Sus scrofa: one gene and its partners. The protein of the gene in region 1 interacts with the protein of each later gene in a pairwise test. Links are inferred from orthologs where the notes say so. Each region holds a gene or a part of one and is shown on either strand. Other genes may lie near its edges.

What was found.
Region 2: the proteins of PSMC5 (region 1) and RORB interact in binary tests that used the Homo sapiens proteins (3 or more experiments, as listed by UniProt). The link is inferred for Sus scrofa from reciprocal best matches to the Homo sapiens genes PSMC5 and RORB.
Region 3: the proteins of PSMC5 (region 1) and FOS interact in a two-hybrid assay, tested with the Homo sapiens proteins (3 studies listed by BioGRID and IntAct). The link is inferred for Sus scrofa from reciprocal best matches to the Homo sapiens genes PSMC5 and FOS.

Annotation. Positions count from the first base shown.
Region 1 is NC_010454.4:15,103,494-15,107,745, reverse strand, and holds the start of PSMC5 (26S protease regulatory subunit 8), read left to right. Parts: upstream 1-1,419; 5' UTR 1,420-1,567; coding exon 1,568-1,591; exon of another isoform or gene 1,592-1,868; coding exon of another isoform or gene 1,869-1,880; exon of another isoform or gene 1,881-2,104; intron 2,105-2,110; coding exon 2,111-2,182; intron 2,183-2,974; exon of another isoform or gene 2,975-3,076; coding exon of another isoform or gene 3,077-3,175; coding exon 3,176-3,245; intron 3,246-3,674; coding exon 3,675-3,772; intron 3,773-3,932; coding exon 3,933-3,989; intron 3,990-4,069; coding exon 4,070-4,252. Other genes in the region: pre-rRNA processing protein FTSJ3, read right to left, coding at 134-213, 331-377, 656-761, 935-1,001.
Region 2 is NC_010443.5:227,572,700-227,576,821, forward strand, and holds the start of RORB (nuclear receptor ROR-beta), read left to right. Parts: upstream 1-1,272; 5' UTR 1,273-2,616; coding exon 2,617-2,655; intron 2,656-4,122. UniProt on the Homo sapiens protein: Nuclear receptor that binds DNA as a monomer to ROR response elements (RORE) containing a single core motif half-site 5'-AGGTCA-3' preceded by a short A-T-rich sequence.
Region 3 is NC_010449.5:98,448,180-98,452,357, reverse strand, and holds FOS (proto-oncogene c-Fos), read right to left. Parts: upstream 2,851-4,178; coding exon 2,710-2,850; intron 1,952-2,709; coding exon 1,700-1,951; intron 1,260-1,699; coding exon 1,152-1,259; intron 1,029-1,151; coding exon 387-1,028; downstream 1-386. UniProt on the Homo sapiens protein: Nuclear phosphoprotein which forms a tight but non-covalently linked complex with the JUN/AP-1 transcription factor. In the heterodimer, FOS and JUN/AP-1 basic regions each seems to interact with symmetrical DNA half sites.

The DNA of each region.
Region 1 (4,252 bases):
GGAAAAGCATGCCTTCAGAGGATCAGGGTAGGCTTGGATCTGATCCCTGGCCTGAGAACTTCCATATGCCGCAGATGCAGCCAAAAAAAAAAAAAAAAAAAAAAGAGAGAGAGAAAAGAGAAATCTCCATTACCTGCCTACAACGTTCTGTTGTGATATCCTCCTGGAGAGTCACCACATTGGGAAGAGGCTTGATTGGAACCAAGTCCACACCTGGAAGAAATCAGGGTGGAGTGTTCCCAAAGGTTGCCTTAAACAGGAGGAAGGGAATGCCGAACACAGCATGTCACACTCGCCATCCCCGAAACGCTTAAAAGAACTGTCACTCACCCACAATAAGGCTGGAGACAGGCATAAACTTGGCAGCCACCTGCAGCCTATAAAAAAGAAGTAAACACTGAAATAATTACCCTGGCTTGTCCCTTTCCCGCCGTCTCTGGCTCTCATCCCCAGTATTAGGAGCCCCTGCCGACTGCAGTGGCCAAACATATCTCATACATAACTTCCAAATATTTTTCCCTGAAATTTGTTTCGGAAGTAGAAAAATTTCAGATTGTTAGTCCTGTATCTCTCCTGCCCACAGTTAAACTCAGTCATCCATGGCGGGAATGCAGAAAGCTGCCACAAGAAGCAACAGGTGCCAGATATTACGCACCATCCACCTGGTGCAGCGCACAGGTCTAGCAAGGCTCGGGCTTTCTGCAGAAATTGAAAGCGGCGATTCAGCTGGATCAACTTGAAAGCAGAGCGGGAACGGTAACCTAGAAACAATGAAAAAAGAATAAAGTCCGCGAAAGCGCTTTCCCAGCGGGATTACGGTGGCCTCACAACCCACCACCTCTTCTGTGGAAGAGAAACCCAATGTTCGGGAAGGAGGCGAACAGGCAAAGATCGGTGGCTCTCTTGCTCTCAGACTGCGTAAACCATGACTCACCGGTCTCTTTCGCCAGGTGATAGAACTTGTCCCGCCGGCTCTTCCCTACTTTGCCCTTCTTGCCCATAGTGGAACTGGGGAGTGCCACTCAATCTGGAGAGAAAGCAGAAATCAGGACGTCTCCGCCCAGAATACTAGATTACGCTCTCCGCTCCCCACTCGTCTTCTCAAAGACACTCCGCACTCCGCTCCTAACACCACCCAGCTCCGTTTTCACTACCCCAGCAGCGGCACGTGTAAGCAGCAAACGTATTTCCGCTTCCGTGTGCGTCGGCTGCGTCCGCGGATCCAAGTTTTCCGCCATTTTGAGCGTGGCCACAAATTTTTCTTTAAGCTCTGTGTCCAGGTTTATAAACTAGATGTTTGCACCCGGAAGTAATATTACTTTAACCAAAACCTAGTTTCTTCGGAATAACATTTAGGAGCTCTGCGTCCTCTTTATCCCCTTCCAAAGCTCCTGACCTCGCGTGGCCCCGCCGCTTCAGGGCCCCTGTTATTTGCTTTGTTTGGGCGCACACCCCGCCCATTGACCCGGAACTGTTCTCTGCCCGGGAGTTCGGTCCCCCAAGCCCCGCTTCCGCGCCTGCGCACCAAAGCGGCTCTGATGCCGGGGGCCTCCGCGGAAGAGGGAAGATGGCGCTTGACGGGCCTGAGCAGGTATGGCGGCGGCTGCCGCGGCCAGACGGGGATCAGGGCTGGATGCGGAGCAGGTGTGATCCGAGGTGGGCAGCCGTCTGGGGCAAGAGCGTTGAGGCAATCAGGTGTGGATGGACCAATCCGGACCGGGCCCTGCCTGGGAACGGATCTGCTGTGTCAGCGCCTCCCCCGGCGGGTCAGGGCAGGGCCGGGAATGGAAGACCCGGTGGAAGCGGGATGAGTGAGCGAGTCGCCCGAGTCAGGGAACCCGTCCTTCTTGCTGGCTCCTCCTGTAGTAATGACCCTTCGGGTTTGTATGCCGTTGCCTTGTGTGTTCTCTCTTGCTCCTCCTGAAAGTCTTAAGGGGTGGACTTTTTTTCCCCTCTTTCTGTTTCCCCTCTTCTGTCACTGGGACACGAAGGGTTTTGAAGAGATGGAGTGAGGGATTAGAACCCAAGTCTTAGTCTCTGAAGTCCAAGCTGGAAGTAGCTTTATCCCTTGGGTGTTTAACCTGTTGTTTAATAATTAAACTGTCTTCAGATGGAGCTGGAAGAGGGGAAGGCAGGCAGTGGACTCCGCCAGTATTATCTGTCCAAGATTGAAGAACTCCAGGTAAGAGGTCCTGAGGGAGCTGGAAGGGCTTCGGTGAAGGATCGATGGAGCCGATTTCTAGAAAGCCGTATGATTCCACTGGGGCGCAGTGGAAGAAGCAAGAAGCCAAGGGTATGAATTATATCAAGTTAACAGTTTCTTCCTCAAGTCCCACCCTTTTGAAGATCATTAATATTCACAGTTTGTTACATATTTTCAGGAGTCAAATTTTCACATAAAAGTTAGCCCCGGCCAAAAATCATTCCTTTCAGAGGAAGCCTGAATGGTAGTTTCTTATAAAAGGGAAGATGTAGGTTCAGAAGATGGGATTTATTAGAGAGGGGTTGGGGCAGAGTGAGAGTGAGGGAAGACAAAATTGAGGAGTCTGAACAATGCTGGTTCCAGGGGGCCAAATGAAAAGGAACTAGCAACCCAGTATTACAGCCTAAAGAGGGAGCCAGATCATAGAAATGAGGAAAATATTGCAAATTAGATGGAGAGCCACAAGGAAAAATTCTCACTTCCAGGTACATTTGCAGGTTTCATATTTGGGTGGTCATTTTTGAAATGCTTTACCTGTGCTGCTTTCATTTGTTCCTCAAATTAACCCCGAAAAGAGGCCAGTAGGTGCACCACTTGCAGTTTGGTGAGAGATCTAGACCTTTTAAGTGGTTTTCATTAGCTTTACTCAGCTATTAACAGCCAGCAGTGGGGCTAGAACTTAGGCTTCTGACTCAAAGTTATCTTCTCTCTCTACCATGTTACTGCCCTGCAAGACACAGTGTAAGCCAGCTGTTGCCTCTTCTCCATTAGGGTTTGCTATTCCTGGACCAGTGTTAGACAAGAAGCTTTTTCCCTGTGGTTGTCCTACACTCCTGAGGAACTCTTGGATCACATTAGAGAATCTGAAATAACATGCGGGTGCCCAGTGCTCTTTCCTCACTCTGCTCCCATCAGCCTGTGAGGGTCATAACCTCCTACCACTGTCTGCCCTTTGCCTCTTGTCCTCCACAGCTGATTGTGAATGACAAGAGCCAGAATCTCCGCAGGCTGCAAGCACAGAGGAATGAGCTTAATGCAAAAGGTGAGGGGGAAGGATGGGAAGGCTGCACGCAGGCAGTGTGAGGTCCTCACACGGGTGCCTGTCGCTTTCTCATAGTTGTTCACGTGCACATCTCTCAAGCTCCCTTGTAACCTCCTTTAAAGATATGAATTTCGACTTGTAAAAAAAAAGTCTTATTCTAGTTGATTCACAGTGTTACTTCTGCTGTGCGGTAGTGTTGCAATTACACACATATATGTTCTTTTTCACATTCTTTTTGTTACGGTTTATTACAGGGTGTTGAACATAGTTCCTTGTGCTATGCAGTAGGACCTGTTTTGACTTTCTTTTTGAAACCTTCCTTTCAAAACTTCAAAACGGCACTTAGTTCATGCATGCTGAATCCTGAATCAAGTCGTGGGGGGAGACATCAAAGAATCTGGGTGACCACTATGTCTGTTTCCCATCTAGTTCGCCTGTTGCGAGAGGAGCTACAGCTACTGCAAGAACAGGGCTCCTATGTGGGGGAAGTAGTCCGGGCCATGGACAAGAAAAAAGTGTTGGTTAAGGTAAAGGCAGCATGAGCCCCGGGAGCAGCCCTTTGGTCGTGGCATTCCCATACCTACGTGTGTCGTGAAGGTTCTCCTGTCGTGCTATTGTGAGACTCGGGGGTCTCTCTGGGTGAGGCTCATGGCTGTCAGGGAAGCACACAAGCCTGTGTTTCTGTAGGTGCATCCCGAGGGCAAGTTTGTCGTAGACGTGGACAAGAACATCGACATCAATGATGTGAGTGCAGCAGGTGAGGTTGGGAGTTGGGGGGTCAGCTCTCACCATGCCCCATCCTAAAACTCTCTTCTCTCGCCCAGGTGACACCCAACTGCCGGGTGGCTCTCAGAAATGATAGCTACACTTTGCACAAGATCCTGCCCAACAAGGTAGATCCACTGGTGTCACTGATGATGGTGGAGAAAGTGCCAGATTCAACTTACGAGATGATTGGTGGACTGGACAAGCAGATCAAGGAGATCAAAGAAGTGATCGAGCTGCCC
Region 2 (4,122 bases), on another chromosome or scaffold:
GCAAAAGATATACAAAAATATGTAGGAGAAAAAAGTACTTTTAATATGTTTTAGCTATCTTTTAAAATAATTACAGATATTATAGCAGTAAAAATAAATTTCAGAATTCAATAAATATTTAGAAATTTAAGACTAGATGAAAGAGTTAAAATTCTTGAACTTTGAAATTCCTCTTTAGTGAGAAATAGAAATCTAAAATAATGACAGTAATAATACTAATAATATTTACAAAGGCTTTGAAATTTTCAATATTCCTGTGTCTCTGAAGCACATAAAAGTAAAATGAGGTAGTCACAGTTTGTTTCTTGACTATTTTATATTCAGTAATTTTTAATGAAGCAACTAAATTAGGCATAACTTAGTGCAGCTTTAATGTAGTTATGATGAATATATTTTACTTGATTAAAAATGATAAAACCAGGAAGCCTTAAATATTATCTTAAACGATTAACTACTGTGTCAATTACAAATCTAGGGGAAAGGTATTTATAGGGGAATAACTATTCTGAGGAGTAACTTCCTTTTGTTCATTTCATTTAATTAAAGACTCAATCAACTTTCATTCTAAATACTAAAATTCTCCTAAATTACATATTGGCTTGCAAATGGAAGGGCATACAGCAGAGCTAAGTCAATTTAACACTAGTGAAGATTCAGAAACTAATCCATTTTTACTTAATCGAGGGAGGTGGGGGGACTATTTGGCAGTGTAGAGTGGGTCTAATTAAATAATCACCAATTCTACATTGGATTTTGTGTTACATGACATAATATAAATAAATACCAGTAAAAATCAAGTTATTCTGTATCTAAAGGATGATGAGGCCTGCTCTGCCAACAGGTATGCCAGTGGGTAGAAGCCTCAATGCCTTAAAGCTGAGTAGATGTGGCAAATTTTTTCACCTTTTTTAGGGTGATCAATTAATCAATCAAAGTATTCCACTATGGAAAGTAGATGTGATCATCTATATAATACGTCCAATAAGAAAATAAGGGGAAACTTGAAAATGAACGGTTTTGATATATGCATTAGATTTTTACCACAGTACAAATAAAATGGTCATAGATGACGGTTTTCACCTATAGGAAATACAATAACTACCTACGTTTAATTGCCAGTTCCCTCTACATAGATAAATGTCTTCTAGGAGCAACTAGAATAAACAATTCCTCCCTCCTAAAGCCCTACACCTTCACGAGATCAGTAATACTTTGCAATCATACCTTGTAGCCTCAGCCCTTTGCCTTGCATCACTAAGTTAGCCACATCGCCAATCGGGGTTGTTACCCTTGAGTCATGTGTCCCAACCCCAGTTTATTAGCAACTCCAAATGCTAATAAAAATCCGTTTCTTCGATAAAAGGAAGCATTAAATTTTTACGAATTTTTTAAAAAACAGACATCTCATTGTTTTGTTTATTTTGTTTTTAGAACAGGGCTAGAAAGCATCTGAAAGACGGTTTTAAAGAAAGCAAGGAAGGCTCCTTGCCTGGGACTGTATTTTAGTTGTGCTCAAAGTGATGGAAGTTGATTTGCGTTATCCTGCCACTAAGACTGAAACGTCCTGCCCAGGAAAACTCCCGCCAAACATGCGGAGTTTACCGAAAATGGACTTTACAGAGAGCTGCCATAAATTCAAAACTAACTACCCGGGCCGCAGGTTTTGCGAGACAGGGAAGCAAGCAGGGACTCAGAGAGCCTCGTTCCTCCCCTCCAGAGTTCTCCTAAGTGCCTCCTCCCTACTCCTGGAATCGGAACTATCACCCGCAGATCTGCCCGATCTCCTCCTCTGCCCAGTTCGGACAGTCTCTAATGCCAGGTTACAGCCCTGGCCGCCTCAGGCACCACTGTGCTAGCTCCCCTCCCCTTGCCTTCAAGCGGATCCCCCGTGGTCCCAGCCCTCCAAGAGCTGCGGGGCGATGATTGGCGGCGACGCTGACAGGAGGCGGGGCCTGGAAGTCTCAGCCAAACCCGCCCTCGCGTATAAGCCCCTTCTCGGCTCTCTCTCTCCATCTCTCTCCTCTTTCTCTCTTGCTCCCTTCCTCCCTGTAACTGAACAGTGAAAATTCACATTGTGGATCCGCTAACAGGCACAGATGTCATGTGAAAACGCACATGCTCTGCCATCCACACCGCCTTTCTTCCTTTTCTTTCTGTTTCCTTTTTTTTCCTTGCTCCTTCTCCCTCTTCTTTGTAACTAACAAAACCACCACCAACTCCTCCTCCTGCTCCTGCCCTTCCTCCTCTTCAGTCCAAGTGATCACAAAAGAAATCTTCTGAGCCGGAGGCGGTGGCATTTTTAAAAAGCAAGCACATTGGAGAGAAAGAAAAAAGAAAAACAAAAGCAAAACAAAACCTAGGCACCAGCCATTCAGCACATTTTTTTCACCCTTCCTGAAAACAAACAAACAACCAAACAACCATCAAAACAGTCACCACCACCATCATCAAAACTGTTAACATAGCAGCGGCAGCAGCGACAAACGTCACCCTCCGGCCACGGCGTCCACCTAAAGGGATGGTTTTCCGGGTGGAACAGCTCTTCGCCGACCACCTACTTCACTTGTGCTGAGAGGGATTTTTGGGCTCTCCGGGGTTTGGGCTGGGAGCAGCTTTATGACTACGAGGAGCGGAAGAGCGGCCACACCATGCGAGGTAAGCAAGCCCGGGGCACGGTGCTTCGCCGGTCCGGCCAACTCCAGCCAGATGGGTGATGGGGGAGGGGAGCGCACTCAGCCGAAGAGGAAAGAGGTTGGCGGGGCGCAGTTTCTGAGTTCGCGTTCGCAGGTGGGCTGCAAATGGCCTGGGCGTATAAAGTTGTGGGAAGGTGTTGATGCCTCTCGGGAGTTCGGAGGGACACTGGAGGGCGGTTTTGGGGGAAGGGGTTGATGCTAGTTGCTTCCTCCCAGTTTCTGAGTTGCACAGAACCATTTTGGGGTTTCACTCTCTAGAGGGAGAACTAGGAAAGGGATGTCTCTCGGCAGAAGCCACTAGAAGCGCCGGGCGCACGGCCGTCGCCTGCCCGGGTTGGTCGCGTGGGGCGCACAGGCAGGCGGCAGAGAGGCGGGTACTCAAACACTCCAGGTTACGCGAGACCCACCAGCGTCCAGGTCAGCGGACATGTCCCTTCGTGGGAGTGGTAGAAGAGGAGGCAGTGTCGTATATGTAGACGCAGATTCCAGGATCGTCCCCCTGCGCGCGTCCTTCGCACCGCCGCTGCGCCCTGCCAGGTCCGCGTACCCGAGCCCGCGCGGCCCTGAGACAAGCGCCATCCAGAAAAAGTTGTGCGGAGAAAGTTCCAGAGGATAAAAGCCCGCGCTAACAGCTACAGGAAAGGCTCCTTTATCAAAGGGCAGCTCCGGGAGGCGGTTGTGGTTGAACCCTCAGGCCAGGACCCCCAGCTGCGGCGGTGACGGCAGCAGCAAGGCAGCGGCAGGTCTCTGGGGCGAACTGGAGGCCGAGGGGCGACGCTCCGGGGACCTGGAGCAAGGCACCTGCTCAGGCTGCACTTTGGGCTGCGGAGCAAATGACCAGGCCTGTTTTAGAGTCACTTTGTCAGTCTCTTCCCCTGCGGTGCCAGACCTTCAGGTTTCCTGCATGCTGCGCCCAGACTTGCTCTCCTCTACTTTCCGCTTGGCCACAACTTCACTTTTCTGGGAGAGCCAGCCGGGTGCCCGCGTGCCATGGAAATGTAATTGCAAGCCTCTGAGCACCTGCCCCCCACCCCACAGTTTTTCTTCCTGGCCATTCTGCATTTCTTGTGGCAGGGCTGGGACTCTCCTCTCCTCTTGGCTGGCCCTTCAGGGTCCTGACAACAAAGTTGGAAAAGGTCAGCTCAGACCTTCCTACTCGCCCTCACCCGGTGCGACAGGTGGGCTAGACAAGAAAACTTGCAAGAGTTGGGCTGAGAGTAACACTGGTCTCCTTCCACCGGGCTCCTACCCATACCTGGAGAGGACAGCGGGCATGCTCCCCTGCTCCACTTGCAGTGAGCCCTGAGCCTAGACTCTATCACAGAAACTGGGTTAGCCAGCAAGGCGCTGGGACATAGCAGGAAAGGGAAGGAGGAGGAACAGAGAAGCCATCCAAGGAGGTGGGTGGGAGGGAGGTAGCTGAAGCTAA
Region 3 (4,178 bases), on another chromosome or scaffold:
ATTTGAAAATATCCAGCACCAGGTTAATTCCAATAATGAACCCAATAGATTAGTTAATGCTATGAGAAGACTAAAGAGCAAGAGAAAAAGAGACACAGACCCAGGCCTGGCTCAACATGCTACTAACTACCAGCTCTCAGATGTGTCACTGGGGACAATACACACTCCATGCGTTTTGCTACATCTCCAGAAGAGGTAAGGACTCGAGTCCACACGTGGATGCTTTCAAGTCCTTGAGGCCCACGGCCTGGTGGTGTGTTTCACGCCCAGATAAGGTCCTCCCTAGGTCTACGGGAACCCTCGAGGGAAGACGTGTTTCTCCTCTCCATAATGCACCGACTCGGGCAGTGGCGCGTGCCTGCCTGCTGCCTCCCCTCTCTGCCCGCTCACAGGGCCAGCAGCGTGGGTGAGCTGAGCGAGTCAGAGGAAGGCTCGTTGCTGCTGCTGCCCTTGCGGTGGGCAGCCGCACAGCTGGGGAAGGAGTCAGCCTCGGGGTAGGTAAAGACGAAGGAAGACGTGTAAGTAGTGCAGCTGGGGGTGCAGGTGACCACCGGGGTACACAGGGGCTCCAGCTCTGTGGCCATGGGCCCCATCCCCAGGGAGCCACCATGCAGGGGCTCCCAGTCTGCTGCATAGAAGGAACCAGACAGGTCCATGTCCGGCACAGAGCGGGCTGTCTCAGAGCCGCCGGGCCTGGACGATGCTGGGAACAGGAAGTCATCAAAGGGCTCGGCCTTCAGCTCCATGCTGCTGACGTTCTTGACTGGCTCCACGGAGGGCTTGGGCTCCGGGTCATTGAGGAGGGGCAGGGTGAAGGCCTCCTCAGATTCGGGGGTGGCAGCCTCAGGCAGGCCCCCACTCAGATCAAGGGAAGCCACAGACATCTCTTCAGGGAAGCCCAGGTCATCAGGGATCTTGCAGGCAGGTCGGTGAGCTGCCAGGATGAACTCGAGTTTTTCCTTCTCCTTCAGCAGGTTGGCGATCTCAGTCTGCAAAGCAGACTTCTCGTCTTCTAGCTGGTCTGTCTCCTGGATACAGAGGATACAGCAAAGCATAAGACACGGTCTTACTCAAAGACTCTGTTCCCTTCTACCCAGTCTCTAACTTTGCCCTTAAGTTTTCGAAAGAAGTGATCCATGGATTCTACCTACCGCTTGGAGTGTGTCAGTCAGCTCCCTCCTCCGGTTCCGGCATTTGGCTGCAGCCATCTTATTCCTTTCCCTTCGGATTCTCCTTTTCTCTTCTTCTTCTGGGGACAACTGGAGGTGGGGAGAGAGAGAGAGGGCAACATTCAGTAACAGTGCCTGCTATCAGCTCCGTTCACCCACCCTAGGAAAACTGGCGCCTGCAGCTTCCCGCCTCCTGGCACCTCTTCTGTGAAGCCATTTCTAACCTGCAGTTGCAAGCTGGGTGTGACTTGCATTTAAAATAAGAACCTCAGCAGGAGAACAAAGAGAAGCTACAAGGGTGAGATAAGAAACTATTAGGGAAGAAACTGCACATTGGATATTACTTAGGGTGGACTATTAGAGTCTGACTTGGGATGGATAGGGCTTGGAGCCGGGGTTCCCAGTCCAGGATATGTAATCAGTTCCACCCATGGCTTCACCCTGTCCACTATGCTCCCCATCTCCATCAAGACTGACCTTACCCCCCCAACCCCAGCCACCACCAGAGAGAAGGTGTTGAGAACCCTCACCTGTTCCACCTTGCCCCTTCTGCCAATGCTCTGAGCTCTGCCTCCTGGCATGGTCTTCACGACTCCAGCCCTGGAGTAAGCCCCAGCCGAGGGAGTGGGGACTCCGTAGGGGTGAGGGGCTCTGGTCTGGGATGGGGCAACCGAGGAGACCAGGGTGGGTTGCACTAGCCACTGCAGGTCTGGGCTGGTCGAGATAGCAGTCACCGTTGGGATGAAGTTGGCACTGGAGACGGCCAGATCGGTGCAGAAGTCCTAGAATGAAATATAGAAGGGGAAAGCTGACGTGAGCGACCAGGCTCTGGACGCAGGTGGGGTGAGCGGAGTGCCCAGTGCCGCATGCAGCAGGGAGAGAGTGAAAAATGGACTGCTTATGTATTTTTATATGTCCTTCATCCTGGATGAAAGGTCTCTCCCTTCCCAAGAATTCCGCAGCGCAGTGCCTTTCTCCTCCATCCTGCTGCTGCGTTCCCGTTATCCCTTCAGCATCACTCGCTTGAAAGGGGGGTTGTTATAAATATCCCTGACGTCTGCGCTGACGCAGACGCCGCTCCGGAGTCTCCTGAATGAACTCGCTTTTTATCAATGAAACTGCCTTACACACCCGCCGGCTTCACCCTCCTCCTCTCACCCTCCTCCCTGCTCCAGGCTGCGAGGGGAGGGAGGATCGCCGCTTTTTGCCTCCTCCCCCGGAGGTGCCCGGCTCTAGTTAGCCAGTCTTTGCTTGGGACACTTTTGCCCCCAGCTAATGTCAGAGACCAGTCAGAGCGCGTGGGCCAGGGTCAGCTCAGAATGAGCCCACAGCGGGAGAGGAGAAAAGATTCTTATTTTGACAAGCATGTGTGCGCTCCGAACAAGTCCGGGGCTCCCGAGATAGGGCTGATCCGGCCGGGGCAAGCCTCCCTCTCTGGCCAATGGGGTCCCCGGCTTGTCTTCCTGAGCGTCCCGTCCCAGTGTCTCCTCCCCGGTAACCCCGAGCCCCGAGCCCCGCGGTGGCACGAAGCCAGCCTTACCTGCGCATTGACGGGAGAGCCCATGCTGGAGAAGGAGTCGGCCGGTGAGTGGTAGTAGGAGAGACTGTCCCCGGCAGGGGAGGCGCTGCTGCAGCGGGATGATGACGCCTCGTAGTCGGCGTTGAAGCCGGAGAACATCATGATCGCAGGTAGTCAAAGCCGGGCGAGGGGCTGAGGGGCGGAGACAGGTAGGAGCTGCGGGGCTGAGCTGGGTAAGAGCGCGGTCGCTGCTCGCTCGCTGCGCCGCTGCCGGTTCTGTCTCAGCTTAGCTGCTCGCTGCAGATGCGGTTGGAGTACTAGGCCACTGCTTTTATAACAGCATTTTATGAATGAGCCCAATACGTCACGGAGCGCTACCATTGCAGCTCTCGAGGGGTGGCGCTCGGATCTTGCCACCTCTGCAGCCTCTTTGCTGCCTCTTCCGCCGTCTCAGCCCCCTGCCTTTCGTCTTATTGTGTTTCTTTATCTTCTGAGCTTTTCTCAGTCTCGGTCTTGGGGTCGCGTAGACCCCCTAAAATGAGGGACTTCGGGGATGGCTCCCCCCACAACTTCAGGGAACGGCCGTGGAAACCTGCTGACGCAGATGTCCTAATATGGACATCCTGTGTAAACGGGAGGGAGGGATTGACGGGAACTGCTCGCGGGCTGCAGCCAACACCAAGGGTGCAGCGCGGGGGGGAGGCGGGGGCCGTGGCCGGGGGGAGGGGAGGCGGGAAAGGCAGAGAAGGCGAGCGAACATTCGCACCTGGTTCAATGCGGACCCTTGTTCCCGGGGTTGGGGGATGGGGCGTAGGCGCCTTTTTACTTGTGTACAGAAACCCGGGAAGAGTTCTGAGGTTCAGGTATAGGCGAGATAGGTACACAGCCCCTTGGGCTTAAGCCTTGGCCCCCGAAGGAATGCGCCTCCACCCCCATTCCTCATTCTATCACTAATTCGGTGCAAACTGTGGAAGCAGACCCCCACCCCCTCGCCTCAAGCCCCAGCGCTCAGCACTACTAGGACTGTTACTGCGTTTGGAAGCGGAAAGTAGAGGGATACAAAATAAGAGAATACGATAACCTACTTTATCTACGATGCTGGGTATTTTAATATTAATTTTTTTTTAAGGGAAAAGGAGCATTTTTTTCCTCGGCCAAATACGGGATGTTAGAGTTACTGTCAAACCCCAGAGACACCAGCCAATAAACATTGTGCAGAACCTCCATGCAAAAATGTCTGTAGGGTTGTTTGCCAGGTTCTGAGCTCGGGCTCCGGAGGGGCTGTCATGTGGACAAGGTCGTCAGTTGGGGTACTGGATGGAGTGAGGTATTGGGGGAGCGCAAGTCCGAGCTGGAGAGGTGGGGGTGGTTCGATGCCCCGGAAGCTGGTTATTGGGAGCCAGCAGCGGGTGATTTTCCAGCACCGACTTGGAGGGGGGAGGACGGGGGCGCTGGAAGGACCGTGCCCAGCAGCGCCAAGGCCGGAGACC